Linked DNA regions of Diceros bicornis minor. The protein of the gene in region 1 purifies or fractionates together with the protein of each later gene. This does not show direct contact. Links are inferred from orthologs where the notes say so. Each region holds a gene or a part of one and is shown in the gene's direction. Other genes may lie near its edges.

Region 1 (7,328 bases):
TGGTTCCTGCCCACCTTCCTCAGTTACAATTGCAGTAACTTTGGCAAAGATGCTTTTCTCCACAAAGAAGTCTTCACCTCATCATACAGTCTTTCCATCTCAGTCATTTTCTTCTGGACCTTGCTGATGCCCTTACCTTCGCATAACCAAAAAAAAAAGATTTTTCCTTCTGAAATAAGAACTCTGCTGCCACTCCTAGAACGTGGAACAGCTTTAGTTTTAAAAATAGTACACTTTATCTTTTTTTGTTTGGTCCTGGCCACCCTCGGAAACATTTCCTCTGTCTGGAATTCTCTCCATCCACGCAGGGCTTCAACTATTAACTCCGGCTTATCTTTCAAAACTCTTTCAAGATTGGCCTCTTCTGGGAAGCTTTCTCTGACCCCCTCCTCACCCCATCCTGATTTAGCTGTCCCTCCTCAGGGCCTGGGGCCTGCTGTCCTCAGAGCACGGCCATACAGCTCCAGACAACCCACAGTCCACGGGCCCTCTCCCTCACTGGATTCTAAGCTCCTCCAGGGAAGGAGTCCTGTCTTCTCTGACCTGTGCCTAGACCCCAGCATAGTGCTGGTATACAGTAGGTGTTCAATACATGTTCAATAAACGCATAAATATCCTTCTCATGCTTATTCCACAACTTTATTTCAACCTCTCACCACCTCACACCACACTGCTACAGAGTTCTGGACACACTTTGTCATTCCTGGTTTCAACTCTACAAAAATGATTTTATTGGTTTTGAAAAGTAATTATAAAATAAATATATTGTATATGTAATACAAAAGTTCAAACGATACAAAAAATCAGAAAGAACTAAGAACTACGTGAAATCTCACTATCTAGACATAAGCAACTCCAACAATTGACTGAATATTCTTCCACTTTTCTGTGTGTATATGTTGAAGTTGCAGATGCCTCTTTGGCATAAGGATTATTTTGAGCCAATTATTTTGGAGAAACTGCAGGTGCAGAAGAAGCTCTGAAAACAGAGTAGTTTACCCTTTTGTTAACGGAAATCTCCATTTGTAAGGGTGTCTTACTCTCCTTACCAGGAAGAAGAGGATGCTTCTAAATCACCAGAAACTCTTATCAATGGGGAAAGCAACGACTGAAATCTGCATGAGAACCTTACCCTTGTTTACTGTGTTTATCCCGATAGCATCCCTTAACTGGCCTCCCCTCACTTCGGTGGCTTGGGTGGTCTTCTGGAGGTTACCAAGTTTTCCTGGGTGTCTGCCGTGTGTACCTGAGGTACACGTGTTAATAAATTTGTATTTCTTTTTCTCCTTTATCTGTCTTTTATTATTGATATTCTCAGCCAAGAACTCAGAAGGGCAGAGGGAAAATTATTTTCCTCCCATACAGTGTGTGTGTGTGTGCGTGTGTATTTCACATACACATATGTATACACTCATACACAAACACACACATAAATGAATAGTTTTACAAATATGGGATCACATTACACTCTCTCAATAATGTGTCTTGGATATATTTGATGTCAGTAATTATAATCACATTATTATTTTTACGGCCTGCATGGTATTTCCTGGTAAGGAGGAACTGATTATCTGTAAAGTTGTGGTCAGTAACCTCACATGTACCTTTTTTTTCTTTCTTGTCCCTGCATTTATCGCCTTAGGGCAAATTTCTACAAACATTATCCTTGGATCAAAGGTCAACTTTAGTTTAATAAAATTCGCCATTCAGGAGCTTCTCCTGAGGATCCTGGACTCATGGATGGGCCTGGCAGGGTGTGTGTGTGTGCATGTGTGCCTGTGTCTACAGATTCCCTCATATCACTTGCACACTTTGCTGGGGAGAAGCTGGTACCTTTTATCAATTTTTCAAAGAGGCTGTGACACAGAAGAGCCATTATTTACTGAGTATTTCTGACTGCCAGGCACTGAGGTGAGCACATACAATTAACCTTCCCAGCAAGCTTATCATCCCCATTTTACAGATGAGAAAACTAAGTCACGGAGTCTCCCTACTCTTCTACCCATTCTGCAAGTCACACATTTGTCAGTGCTTGGCTTCTCTTTCTACCAGATGATGAGTTAAGCCCTTGGCCTCCACACAGGCTCAAATACTTCTCCATCTTTATTTCCATTGTCAGGATTTAAAACCTGTGCTATCGTCAAACTGATGCACTCACTCTCCCTAGGCTGACTTTGTGCTCTGGCACATTGCCTCTTTAATTCTCTGCAAACGCCTTTCACCCCAATTTAAATCCTTGCTGTTCCATTTTGAAGTGATCATCCTCTGAACTACAGTTTCCAGTAGCACCACCACCATCTGGGCTAACATTAACTTTGGAATAAATCCTTAATCTTATCTTGAAAGATCTTCTTTTTTTTTTTTTTTTTAAAGATTTTATTTATTTATTTTTTTCCCCCAAAGCCCCAGCAGATAGTTGTAAGTCATAGCTGCACATCCCTCCAGTTGCTGCATGTGGGACGCGGCCTCAGCACGGCCTGAGAAGCGGTGTGTTGGTGCGTGCCCGGGATCCGAACCTGGGGCCGCCAGAAGCGGAGCGCGTGCACTTAACCGCTAAGCCATCGCACCGGCCCTTGAAAGATCTTCTGTTCTTCCACAAAGAGCTCCTTGAATATTGCCACTTCAACTAACTTTCAGGGTGTTTATTCCTGTTCTCCCAGAATACCGCGTGGATTCCATCAGGGCTGGCGCCTTGTTTTCTACTAGCTGGTTTTTCTCATGATACAGCTCACTGCATTGACAGATGCTGTAATAAATTTTTTTTTTTTTTTGGAGGGAGAAAGAAAAAGTTATTTGTGGCTAGCCTACCACTTACTATTTAAAATTCATGTCTCTGCGCTGTCGGCATTTTGAGATTAGCTCACACTTGCTGTAGGGACTTATTTAAATGTGAAAAGTCACATGATAGTACTGTCAACACTGGAAGGGAAATAAAACCCCATCGACCTGCTGGCAGATGCCGTTACACGTGACAGCGCCAAACTCGCATACACCTGAAGGAAATTCCAGTCTCTGCTGAGATTATTTTAGGTTTTATCATGAGATGTCCATAGTAAAACCAAATATGGTGTTATTCCTTCCTTTTGACCAGGCATTTACATAACCTACTACAAAAAAGAAGAGAGAATTGACTCAGATTAAAAAAATTATTTTTTTCTGTTGCTAATTGGTCATCTGCTAAAAACTACAAGCTGTTAAGTAATACAATGAGGGTTTAAGAAACACAAGAAATGCACATACACAATATAAAGCCATCCTTTGTTCTGAAGTAGGAAAAACTAGAACCATGGCTATTAAGCCTTCCAGACGCCCACAATGAAGGTTATGAATCCGCTACCATACAGCAGCAGCGTTTAACACGTGTCCTCCTTCTACCCAAGTCTCCCAAGGGCTGAGGAGCAAGAACTGAGGCCTTGGTGGAGGGCTGAGAGGGCGCCCGGGGACAGCACCACGGCGGAGGCGCTCAGCGTGCGCGGGCACCTTCATTCTCAGGACCCGGGAGGGGAGAGGACAGACCCGCAGGGACACGTGCGGGGCCACCACCCGGGGACAGCACCGGGGCGGGGGCGCTCAGCGTGCGCGGGCACCTTCATTCTCAGGACCCGGGAGGGGAGAGGACAGACCCGCAGGGACACGTGCGGGGCCACCACCCGGGGACAACGGCGCCCGGGGACAGCACCGGGGCGGGGGCGCTCAGCGTGTGCGGGCACCTTCATTCTCAGGACCCGGGAGGGGAGAGGACAGACCCGCAGGGACACGTGCGGGGCCACCACCCGGGGACAACGGCGCCCGGGGTCAGCACTGAGATCCCGGCGGGCCAGGACCCCTCAGCACGAGGCCACAGCGCGCGAACCCCAAAACCGGTCTCGGGTTCCGATCCGACCAGCACTGCCTGACGCTCCGGCGTTCCGTCGTCGGGGCCTCGGTGACGGAGAAGCCGGGGACGGAGGCGGCACCCGGACCTCGGGTGAGCCCGGGACCGCGCCCCTACCCGCCCGAGTCCCGCCTCCCCGTGGGGCACGTCCGGGTGCACAGCGGGCACAGTTCCCACGGAACCAGCCGCGTCGGCACGCGCGTCGGCCCAACAGCCCGAAGCTTCGGGAAGGCGGGGCGGGGCGCGCGAGGCGCATGCGCGGCGTCAGGACGGGGCGGAAGTGGATGTCGCCGCGTGACGCACTTCCTGTTTGTTGTTGGAGAAAGGAGAGAAAGGAAAGCGCGAGGTGCCGCCGTCACCGTCAGCAGCGCCGTCGTGCCGGAGCCGAGGGAGACCGGGCCCCTTCCCGCCGCGCCGTCCCGCCGCCGGCCCCGCGTCCTCGGTGAGGGCCGCCCGCGCGGGGCAGGGGGCGGGCCGCGGACCTGACCCGGGCTTGGCAACGCGTGCGGTCGCCGGGCCGCGCCGGCCGGGGGTCGGGTGGGGGTCAGGCCGGAGGCGGAGGCCGGAGGTCGCGGGCCGCGGGCCTGGGGTGGGATCGGGGCCTGGGGTGGGGCCGGGGATCGGCGTGGGGGTCAGGCCGGGGTCGCGGCCGGGCACGGGTGTAGGGTCGATGCCGAGGGCCAGGGGTGGGGTTCGGGACCGGGGTCCAGACTTGCCGCGTCCCCGCGCCGGCGGTTGGGGGTGGGGCCGTGCGGGCGGCGGTCTGGGGGCCTCTCCTGCCCTGTCCGCCCGGGGCCGAGGCCGGCCCGTCTCGCTCGGCAGCGCAGGCCCGCAGCGGGAGAGGCTTGCTTTTTCTCGAAGGCCCCGCGTAGTTGACCCTGAAGCCAGCGCGAGGTGGGTTTACAGAAGGAAGGAGCCGGGGGAGGCGGCGTCCCCACACGGAGACGGGGACGCGGGCGTGGGGCCGGGTTGCCAGAGCTCCCCGCTGAGTTGTCGGAAGTTTGTTGATTAGCAAAATGCCTGATTTTCAACTCGCTACTTAAGCCAGTTTGCTTCGTTTTAGTTCAGCGTGTAACGCGGTTTATGTAAGTCAAGTTTATATCAGCTTTTGCCCGAGTAAGGAAAGAATGGACGCAAGAAGCGTACTTTGCAAACCTTGTGTCGTCTGGAAAAAGGTTTTCCCAGGTGGGACGGGTTGTGGTCAGGGACGTGAACTTCGGTGCTGCCCTGCTCCCGTGAGCTGCGGAACGGAAGTGCCCGCTGTGGAGACGGCCCCCCGGGGGCTCCCTAGGAAGAGTGGGCTGAGCGGCGCTCCTGGTATTTTTCAACGTTTTTAGTTCAGTTGTGGATTCGTAGTAAGATATTATGGCTAGAATCTTTTAAGGCAACTAATTGATTTAGTAGGAAAGTTAAAAAGGAAAGAGAAACTCTTACCATTTGGACTTGTTTGCTGATTCTTCAGGTTTAGTCATTCTTTTTAATAATTACACATAACAAAAATGGTTTAGTGATATCTGAAGGAATTATGTCTTCTCTCCGCCTCTTCCCCAGTCCCCCCCGCCCCCAGGTTCTTTCGGGGAAGGTTTAATCCAGACTTTTCTTGTTTCCAGTAAGAGACTTCAGCTCCCATGGGGTTAGGACTTTTGTATTTGTAATAAAAAGGTGAGTGCTGTTTGTGCACGTTATCCAAGGAGCTGTGGGACTTTTTGGATTATGCAGAATATGAATTTGGGGAGTAAATTGGCTGGGTGTCGTAGTTTGTGGGTGTGGATGACTTGACGGGAAGTGGGAGGAGAACAAAAGGGGTTGAGAAGCTGACTTTTGAAACATGCCTAAGTGTGCTTAGTGTGGTGCTGTAGAAGATGAGAAAGTTGGGGATTTAAGACCCTTTAAAGAATTTGAGATGAGTTCAGCGTCCTCTTCAAAATATCAGTGTTTACATTTGTTTTCTTCTGGATTTGAAAGTGGAAGATTTGGGAGGTATTTCTTGCTGCAGGACAGGCTTATCTGGAGGGCTGGATGGGGAGTACTGTTTGATTAATACTCTGAAGACTAAATGACGGCTAGAGAATTCTAGTATGATATCTGCGACCGGGTGGCATACAGTAGTTTTCCTTTTTAAGCAAACCCGTTATTTTTAAGGGTAGAAGCAAGAGTAGAACTATTAACTCTATTTTGGACAGTTTCAAACAAATACAACTGTGTACTCATGGCCACCATCGACAGGTTTCAACCTAGCAAACTCAAAAACCAGTTTGGGGTGGGATAAGTTTATGTGTATTTTTTCATTTTTAAAGAGGGCACTTTAAAACTTGGTGAATTATTTTTAATTCAGCTCTTCAGAATTGCAGTGTAATCTTGACTGTGTCACCTTAGTGGTGTTTCCCGTTACCTTCCACTGGGGTGCAGTGGGCATGACTGCGTGGTGAAGGTCAGCTGCGTTGTTGGTTAATGCTGAAGGGTGGCTACACGTGGCTTCTGATGTCTCTTGGTAAGGAGTACGTGAATATAGTCAGCCTTTATATCTGTAAGTTGATATTTTAACAAGTTTTTTTTTTTTTTTTTTGGTGAGGAAGATCAGCCCTGAGCTAACATCCATGCTAATCCTCCTCTTTTTGCTGAGGAAGACCGGCTCTGAGCTAACATCTATTGCCAATTCTCCTCCTTTTTCTCCCCAAAGCCCCAGTAGATAGTTGTATGTCATAGTTGCACATTCTTCTAGTTGCTGTACGTGGGACGAGGCCTCAGCATGGCCAGAGAAGCGGTGCGTCGGTGCGCGCCCCGGATCCGAACCCGGGCTGCCAGTAGCGGAGCGCGCGCACTTAACGGCTGAGCCACGGGCCGGCCCTTAACAAGATTTTTAAAAACCTTTTTTTCTTTTGTGTGTTTTCAGTTTCTTGGAAATGATTCTAGAATTTCGGATGGTGTTGTGTGTTAAAAATCTGGTTTGGGGGGCCGGCCCTGTGGCGCAAGCGGTTAAGTGTGCTCGGTCCGCTGCTCGGTCCGCTTCGCTAGTTCGCATCCTGGACGCGCACGACGCACCGCTTGTCAGGCCATGCTGTGGTGGCGTCCCACATAAAGTGGAGGAAGATGGGCATGGATGTTAGCCCAGGGCCAGTCTTCCTCAGCAAAAAGAGGAGGATTGGCATGGATGTTAGCTCAGGGCTGATCTTCCTCACAAAAAAAAAAAAAAATCTGGTTTGGTTTAAATTTGTGCAGGACACCACCTAGCTGTGAAAGGTTGGTAACTGCAGGCTTCCTAGTGAATTGGGATGGGATGGGGCACAAATGCGTGGCTTCTCTTTGGTGGATAGAATTTGAGAGAACTTCAAACTCGGAAAAAGGGAGGTAAATGAGAAGAAAAGCCAAGTTGATAAAAATCAGAATAGTGATAGAAATGATAATATAGGAATCTAAAGACAATTTTAAAGCGTAATTGGAGAAAATGACTCAC
Region 2 (7,671 bases), on another chromosome or scaffold:
TCCAAACCCAGTCCTGCCTTTGCTCCAGGGGTCACCATCACTCCCTGACTTTAAGCTTAATTAATTAGGGTTTTCAATCATGATTTAAGAATTTTTGTATCTTCAGCACCTACCTCCCTACTTGGTACATTGTAGAAGCTCAAACATGTTTCCTGAAATGCATAAACTGCCTTTCTACCTAAAATGCAAAGAGACACTTGTAATTTCCCTACATAAAACCTTCTGATAGCCTCCTCAGGCCTATAGGATAAAGTCCAGAAGCAAAGAGGGCCCTTCAAGGTCTGTTCCCTTTTAACCTCTGTAGCCTTATCTCTTACCACTGTTCCCTCAAAAGTTTTGCTTCAGCAGTGTTTTGTGTTTTTTTTAGTGAGGAAGATTGGCCCTGAGCTAAGGTCTGTTGCCAATCTTCCTCTTTTTGCTGAGGAAGATTCGCCCTGAGCTAACATCTGTGCCCATCCTCCTCTATTTTGTATGTGGGATGACCACAGCATGGCCTGCACCCAGGATATGAAGCTGCAAACCCCAGGCCGCTGAAGCGGAGCACGTAAATTTAACCACTACGCCACTGGGCTGGCCACTTCAGCAGTTTTTTTTTCACTCCTCATAGTTCTTCCCAAATGGGGCATACCTCTGTGCCCTTGTATTGATCCCATTTTCTGCCTGGAATGCTCTCCGGCTCTGCCTCCCCCCCCCCCCCCCCCCCCGCCCCAAATCACTCACTCCGTCTTCTGAACACTTTTGCCCTTTTAACATACATCTTTCTATTGTGGCCTTCATCACAGGATTATAATGGATTCCATTTGGGCACCCTCACTAGGCTGTGAACCCTCTTGGGCAGAGACCATGTCTTACTTGTCTTTTCATCCCCAGCACCTAGCACTATGCCGAGTGCACAGTAGGAGCTCAATAAATATTTATTGACATGAACTACCGCACAGGTGGCACAAACTTCAATCCTGCACGTCCATGTTAATCATGAGACATCCTGCCTCCTTCAGGATGTCTTCTTGAAATGATCAAAGGACAACAGGAAGTTCTTCCAACTTAAAACTCCAATGCTAATGCCAACCATTAACATTAGCATATCTACCCAGGATGGTCTAACTAACATCTAATATCTTATGGTAAAACTAGGTATGGAATTCACTTATTATTCCTGTTATTCACATCTCCTCCTATTTTAGGTGGCTAGCTTCTAAAGGTAAGACTGTCTGGGTCAGTTATCCTGTGTAGCCACGTGGTCAGGATCTTCCAGCCAGACACAGTTTCAATATATTCTCAAACCAGTACCTATATGTACTCAGTACAGTGTGGCAAGCCAAATGGTCATTTATTTCTCATTCAGTTGCCCAGGTCAAAAAAACCTTGGAGTCATTCTTGACTCTTCTCCCTGATACTGCATCCATCCATCAACAAATTCTGTTAGCTCCATCTTCAGACCATACCTAGAATCTGACCACTTCTCATCACCTCCACTGTTTCTAACCTACTCTAAGCCACCGTCATGTCTCATCTGGATTATGGCAACAGCACGCTAATAGGTCTGTTTCTGCTGTTGTCCCCAATACTCTCTTCTCCATACAACAGCCAGAGTGATCCTTTTGTAGGTCTTACAAAGTCCCACATGATCTGGTTTCCTTCTTTCTCTGACCTTGTCTTCTACTACTGCTCTTCTGTCATTCATATCAGTCTAGGCACACTGGCTTCTCTGTTGGCCCTTGAACACACTAAGCATAGTTCTGACTCAGGACCTTTGCACTTGCTATACCTCTGCCCAGAATGCTCTCACCCCAGCTATCCCTCACCTTGTTAAGGTCTCTGTTTAAATGTCACCTTATCAGTATGGCCTTCCCTAGTCACCCTAAAAAGCAACTACCACCTCCTAGCTGCTTGCCTGTTCCTCTTTCCCCCTTCTACCTCGCTTTATTTTTGTCTATATCATTACTATATCTCCAGAGCCAGGAACAGTACCCGACACATAGTAAGTACTAATTCAATAAATATTTGTTGAGTTGATGTGGATATAAAAACAAACTGAAAAGCTTATTTTTAAAAAATTCTCCTGAGTTACTCACTCTGATCTGGTGTCCACTGTACAACCCACTCATTCTACCTGAGGCACCTCCGTGCTAATTTTCAGGGTGTTTCTTCCTCCCCCAATCCATATGCACATATACATACACACATACACTCAGTCACACCCATTCACTTTGGCTCAGGTAGGAAATCCAGTCTCTTCTAACTCCCACATCACTGCCCCATCCTCACTCTGTTCCAGTATCCAACTGCCCTGGGACTGCTCCAGACCTCCCATCCAAAGAGGGCCCCTTTTCTGGCCCAGCTCTGCTCTCTCAAGGACTTCCTGACTTTGGCTCCATCAGATAGAGCAGTGAATATAGGAACCACTTTGTTTCTCTTCCTTCCCAACAATCTTTATCCTCCTTGTGTTAAGCTTCAGCCCTGGCAGGGCCCACTCTCTCTCCTACATCTTATCATCTACAGGACATTCCAGTGACTGAGGAATTTCTGTTCATCAGAGTTCATTGGACAGAGATGGGAGGGAGGGAGGGAGGGAGGGAGGGAGGAAGGAAGGAAGGAAGGAAGGAGGAAAAGAGAAAGGCAGGGAGGGAGAAAGGAAGGACAGAGATGAAAGGAAGGAAGGAAGGAGAAAGAGAAGGTGGGAGGAAGGAAAGACAAGGGAGGGCAATGGAGAAGGAAGACAGACACAAACTCTGGTTCTGGGGGAACAGAATGATTACATCCCTTCAATTCCTGGAGTAGATGGCCGCCTATATGGTAAGTCCTTGAGGACTCTGACAATGAGCTCTTGCATCTCCTCCTTCATTCCCACCTGTTCAAGGATTTCTTTTTAACCTGAGACAAAGCCCAGGTTTGGAGTTTTGTCTCAGAGTTAGAAAGCTAAGTTGTAATTTGTAAATATTCCTAGGAGAGGTAATACATTGATTTAAAATCATGCAAAGGTAAAAATGGCTGATATCAGAGTCTTAAGTTTTGGAAGAAAGAAGAGAAAGGGCTTTAGGCACCTAAAGGCAGTAGGTAGAGGATACCAGCTAATGGAAAAAGAAAAAAAGGAGGAGGCTAGAAGCTAAGTTGTATGTCCAGTTCTGTTGAAGGATGGACATGATGGAATGAGAAGAGAGAAGCTGGAACTTGAGCTTCCACTTAACAGTTAAGCCTGGGCTGTAGAACTCTCACTGGCGTAACTTGATCACATGTCAAACTGCTTTTGTTTGGGGCAAGAGAAAAAGGGGCACTTGCATGGTGGGATCTCCAGAGACAGAGCATCTGGAAGATAAATCAGAAAGACTTTACTGCGTCTTTTCCCCAAAAATATCAATGAAAAACAAATTTTCTTTTATTCTTTGTCTTTCTTTGGCTTTGCCAGTCTGCCAGTTTCTAAATTATCTGTCTCTGTTCCCCTATCTCCAAAGAAACCTGAGAAGCCCTGCTCCCACCTGAGTCACCAGAGACCCCCTCCTCCTTCTCCCCCAGGGAAGTATTGGGAACAAGTCTTTCTCATTGTAAGGCTCCACAGAACATAAATATGGCTAGCAGCCAGAGTAAAGAACCAGAGAGAGCTAAAGGTTGGATGAGTCTGGTTTAAAGTCCATCTTAGTCCAAATCCCCTGACACCCAGGAGGAAGGCCCTTCTCTCCAGCTGGGCCAGATTTTATGCAAGACATTTAGTATGTCAAAGTATCAGTCTTTGGCCTTGGAGTCAGGTCTCCTGGGTCTGTTTTCACCTCCGCCCCTGGGTGATACGGGTTAATGGAGCTCTCCACCCTTTCTTCTTCTCTCAAACTTCAGACCCTTGACCTACCTACCTGACTAGAGGCAAGTAAGATCAGCGCAGGACTGGGAGCTCTTGAGGACACAGGAGTTAGAGAAAATAAAGGGGAGACTGGCACTAAACTAAAGGATTTCAGAACTAGAGCCTTTCCCCTGGCCGACCCTTCACAGCAGGGTAACTGAGGGTTCCAGGAGCCTCTCCCAAGCCAGTTCCCAAGGGGCTAGAGTTCCAGCCTGGCCGAAGAGCGCCATCTGGCGGCCAGTACCCCCCCCCCCCCCCCACTGGATTCTCCTTGCCCTATCCCGAGTTCTCGCAGCCAGAGCTAGACCTGGGCAGAACTGTCACCTCCTCCTCTACGTCACTCCGAGGACCCCGCCCTGCCTAGAATGCACCTCCCCCGCAAAATTGCCGCCCTTCCTCCTCCCCGGGCTGAGCGCTTCTCCGGTAGAAAATCTGCTTTAAGCTCCCCGTAGGGATCCGCCCCACTTCCTCGCCCACAGGGAGCCCGCCCCTCCCCCATGGGAATCTGCCCCGGGTCCTCTTCCTTCCCCCAAGGGAACGTGCCGCACCGCCCTCCCTCCTCCCCCGCCCCGGCCCGCCCGAGGAGTCCACGCCTCTGCTCCTCCCCCACACCCTTACAGGGAGCCTCTTCCTGTCCACAGAACCCAAATCCAGGTTACTAACGAGGCTTCCCCTCCCCTCGTCTCCAGCGAACCCCGCGGCCCCGGATCAGCGGCCCCGCGCCCCGGGAGCGCGCCCTCGCCTTCTCCCCACGCCCACCAGGAGGCGGAGCTCCGCGGCCCGGCCCCCCCCGGGGGGGGGGGCTGTCCCATCGTGACGTCACTTCCGTCCGGGCCTGGCCGTGCTTCGGGCTCCGTGGGCCGAGGGGGGGGACGGAGGTGGCAGCTGTGGGAGGAGGCGGCGCGGGAGGCCGAGGAGCTCACGACAGGACCAATCCGGCGTACCGGGCCGCAGCCCTCCGATCCTGCAGTGCACCGAGAGGCGAGACCAGCCGGATGGGCCGCTGAGCCCGAATCGGGGACCGGTGAGCCTGGAGCAGAGCGGGCAGCCGGGTCCGGACGGGAGCGGGCCTGCAGGGCTGCAGGGTCTGGGAGCCCGGGATGCCGGGAGGGGAGAGGGTCAGGCCTGCCTCTCCTGTGCGCCCGGCGAAGGCAGGGGTCGGGGGAGCCGCCGGCAGGCGCGGTGGGGATAGTGAGGCCCGCCCGGGGGAGGCCTGGGAGCGGCTGGTGTAAGGAGGGGGCGGGGTGGTTGGGGTCATTAATGGGGCGGAGGGCCAGCATTGGGGATTCGCATCCGGAGCAGTGGCGTCAGGGGAGGGGCAGTATGCTTCTGGCCTAGGGCTTCGGGAAGAGGATGGCTCTGAGTGGGGAGGCAGAAAACTGAGAGGCTTGAAAAAATTTTCCATGGCCCTCCTTGAGAGAGGGATTTGAAGAGCTCTTCTCTCCCTAGAGGGTGGTGGTGAACACCTGGAGAAGGGTCTTACTGGAGTTTAGGGGGTCAGTTACAGTATAGGGAAGGGACAGTGTTCTGAGAGTCCCTACTCTGAGCCGGTGTGCAAAAAGCCTGGCCGCCTCCAAGTATTTGAGCCTTCACATCTTTACAGTGTGGAGCCCCCTGGAGCTAAAATCAGGATGTTCCGCTTCATGAGGGACGTGGAGCCTGAGGATCCCATGTTCCTGATGTAAGTACTCCCCCCCTCATGCTCTAGAGCACTCATCCCACTCCACTTCAGGGCTCTGAGTAATTCAGACAGACATCTGGGTTCCCATTGCTGGCCCTGATTGGAACTGGCTGGATACTCAGCTCCAGCCCGGACTTAAAGAGGATACAGACATCTGTGCCATTGTTTCTCTACTACTGTTTTCTTTTTTGGGGGTGAGCGGGGTGTTGATTACTTGGTCCTTCTACCATCCATACTGTATACTCACTCCACAGGGACCCCTTTGCTATTCACCGTCAGCATATGAACCGCATGTTGTCAGGTGGCTTTGGATATAGCCCCTTCCTCAGCATCACAGATGGCAACATGCCAGGGACCAGGCCTACCAGCCGCAGGATGCAGGTAATGGTGCTGCGATATGCCTGAGACCCAAAGACAGGCTGGAGGGTGGTTAATAAAGCGCTTGATTTGTCTTGTACTGCAGCCAACTTAGCAAGTGGAATGATCTTCTAGAAGTGGGGAAAGGGTCTGGGAAAAGGGCTTTGTGAGAGGAGGACAGAAAGACAGCTGAAGCCGTGGGCTTGGTTTGGGACTGTAATAAGATAGGATGAGGTCTCTAATTCCTGTTCCTTACCTGTTCCTGTAGGCTGGGGCTGTCTCCCCCTTTGGGATGCTGGGAATGGTGAGTCCTCATCTCCTCATATCTTTCCATCTCAGACATACTCTATACCCTTAGATGTTATTTCCAAATGTGCCTCTCTGAAATAGCCTTGTGGGTAACCCTAGAATCTTTTTATAGTGTTCACAGAGCTCTGGGCCTGCTGGGTGCTAAGACCTGTGAGTTAAAGATGCTAACTTATTGACTCTTATACTTCTAGGAACCATATCCATTAGGAAAATGTAATTGTCTAGCAAAGTTTGTTCTTTTGAGGAGGGAGGTGAAGTTGAAGGGCCAACTTGAGATGATTTTTAGAAGTCTTTTTTTTTTACAATTTCATGCCTTTATAGGTTAGAATCCATTAACTTTGGCTTGCTTCCTAAAGATAGGGGGAAATAGGGCAGTCAGGAGAAGGGAAATTGGATCCGAGCAGCCGCAAAGACTGAGGAGGAGGGCGGCAGTATGGAGAAGAGAAACATGCAGATAAGCATGCAGTGTTCTGGTCATGTTCTCCAAGAATGAGAAAGAGCAGTTGCTAGATGTAAAGGAAGAAGAGAAAGGGAATATGCAGCCACGTAGCTAGTGGGTCCCTGAACAAGATAAGCTGAACGCTGACTTTGCTTTCCTGACTGTTCTCCATCTCTCTCTCTAGTCAGGTGGCTTCATGGACATGTTTGGGATGATGAACGACATGATTGGGAACATGGTGAGACTCTTGCCCCATACCTTTTCCAGGCCCTGCTCTCAGCTCTGGCCGGCAACACCTTGAGTCCTCTGAGGCAGGAGAGGGAAAGAGTGTGCTAGTGAAGGGTTCAAGCGGGGTAAAGGAATTGAACCCAGAGAGCACTGGGTTCCTGTATGTGCTCTCGTGCCTGAGTGAAGCAGCAGCAGCACTCTTATTAAGTATGCAGTTAAGGCTCAATCTCTTAAGATCCTTCTTGTTTATTGTGGACTCAGAGGTATTTGGGGGTAATGATGAGTCTTGATGTTTTCTCAGTTCTCAAATTTTGTGAGAAAGATACGGGCAAGAATAGGCAGCTGAAGTGTGGGGTCCCTTCTCCAGAGGGGAACCCCTCCCCATTCAGTCCTGCTGTACCCTTTCCTCCCCAGGAACACATGACGGCTGGAGGCAACTGCCAGACCTTTTCATCCTCCACTGTCATCTCCTACTCCAATACTGGTGATGGTGCCCCCAAGGTCTACCAAGAGACATCAGAGATGCGCTCAGCACCAGGCGGGGTGAGTGGAAGGGCTTCTAGGCCAGAGAAGGTGGGGTTGAACAGCACCCACAGAAACCCTGGCTTTGTTTTTCAGGATTGGGTTGTGGGTGGTTTGTCTGTCCTGGGCTGGCACAGCCAGGGCTTTGGAAGGGGCAGCTGAGTGTGCTGTGTTCTGCCTCACCTCAGATCCGGGAGACTCGGAGGACTGTTCGGGACTCAGACAGCGGACTAGAGCAGATGTCCATTGGGCATCACATCCGAGACCGAGCTCACATCCTCCAGCGCTCGCGAAACCACCGCA

The links. Proteins that work in one complex are often made in the same cells at the same time.
Region 2: the proteins of DNAJB6 (region 1) and MLF2 purify together in Homo sapiens (affinity purification with mass spectrometry; 3 studies listed by BioGRID and IntAct, with this or other methods). This does not show direct contact. The link is inferred for Diceros bicornis minor from reciprocal best matches to the Homo sapiens genes DNAJB6 and MLF2.

The regions. Positions count from the first base shown.
Region 1 is NC_080742.1:101,824,824-101,832,151, forward strand, and holds the start of DNAJB6 (dnaJ homolog subfamily B member 6), read left to right. Parts: upstream 1-4,297; 5' UTR 4,298-4,316; intron 4,317-4,592; exon of another isoform or gene 4,593-4,608; intron 4,609-7,328. UniProt on the Homo sapiens protein: Has a stimulatory effect on the ATPase activity of HSP70 in a dose-dependent and time-dependent manner and hence acts as a co-chaperone of HSP70. Plays an indispensable role in the organization of KRT8/KRT18 filaments.
Region 2 is NC_080756.1:54,978,828-54,986,498, forward strand, and holds the start of MLF2 (myeloid leukemia factor 2), read left to right. Parts: upstream 1-4,717; 5' UTR 4,718-4,807; coding exon of another isoform or gene 4,808-5,090; intron 5,091-5,435; 5' UTR 5,436-5,463; coding exon 5,464-5,513; intron 5,514-5,767; coding exon 5,768-5,894; intron 5,895-6,138; coding exon 6,139-6,174; intron 6,175-6,802; coding exon 6,803-6,856; intron 6,857-7,260; coding exon 7,261-7,389; intron 7,390-7,556; coding exon 7,557-7,671. Other genes in the region: PTMS (parathymosin), read right to left, coding at 4,527-4,717, 4,808-5,090.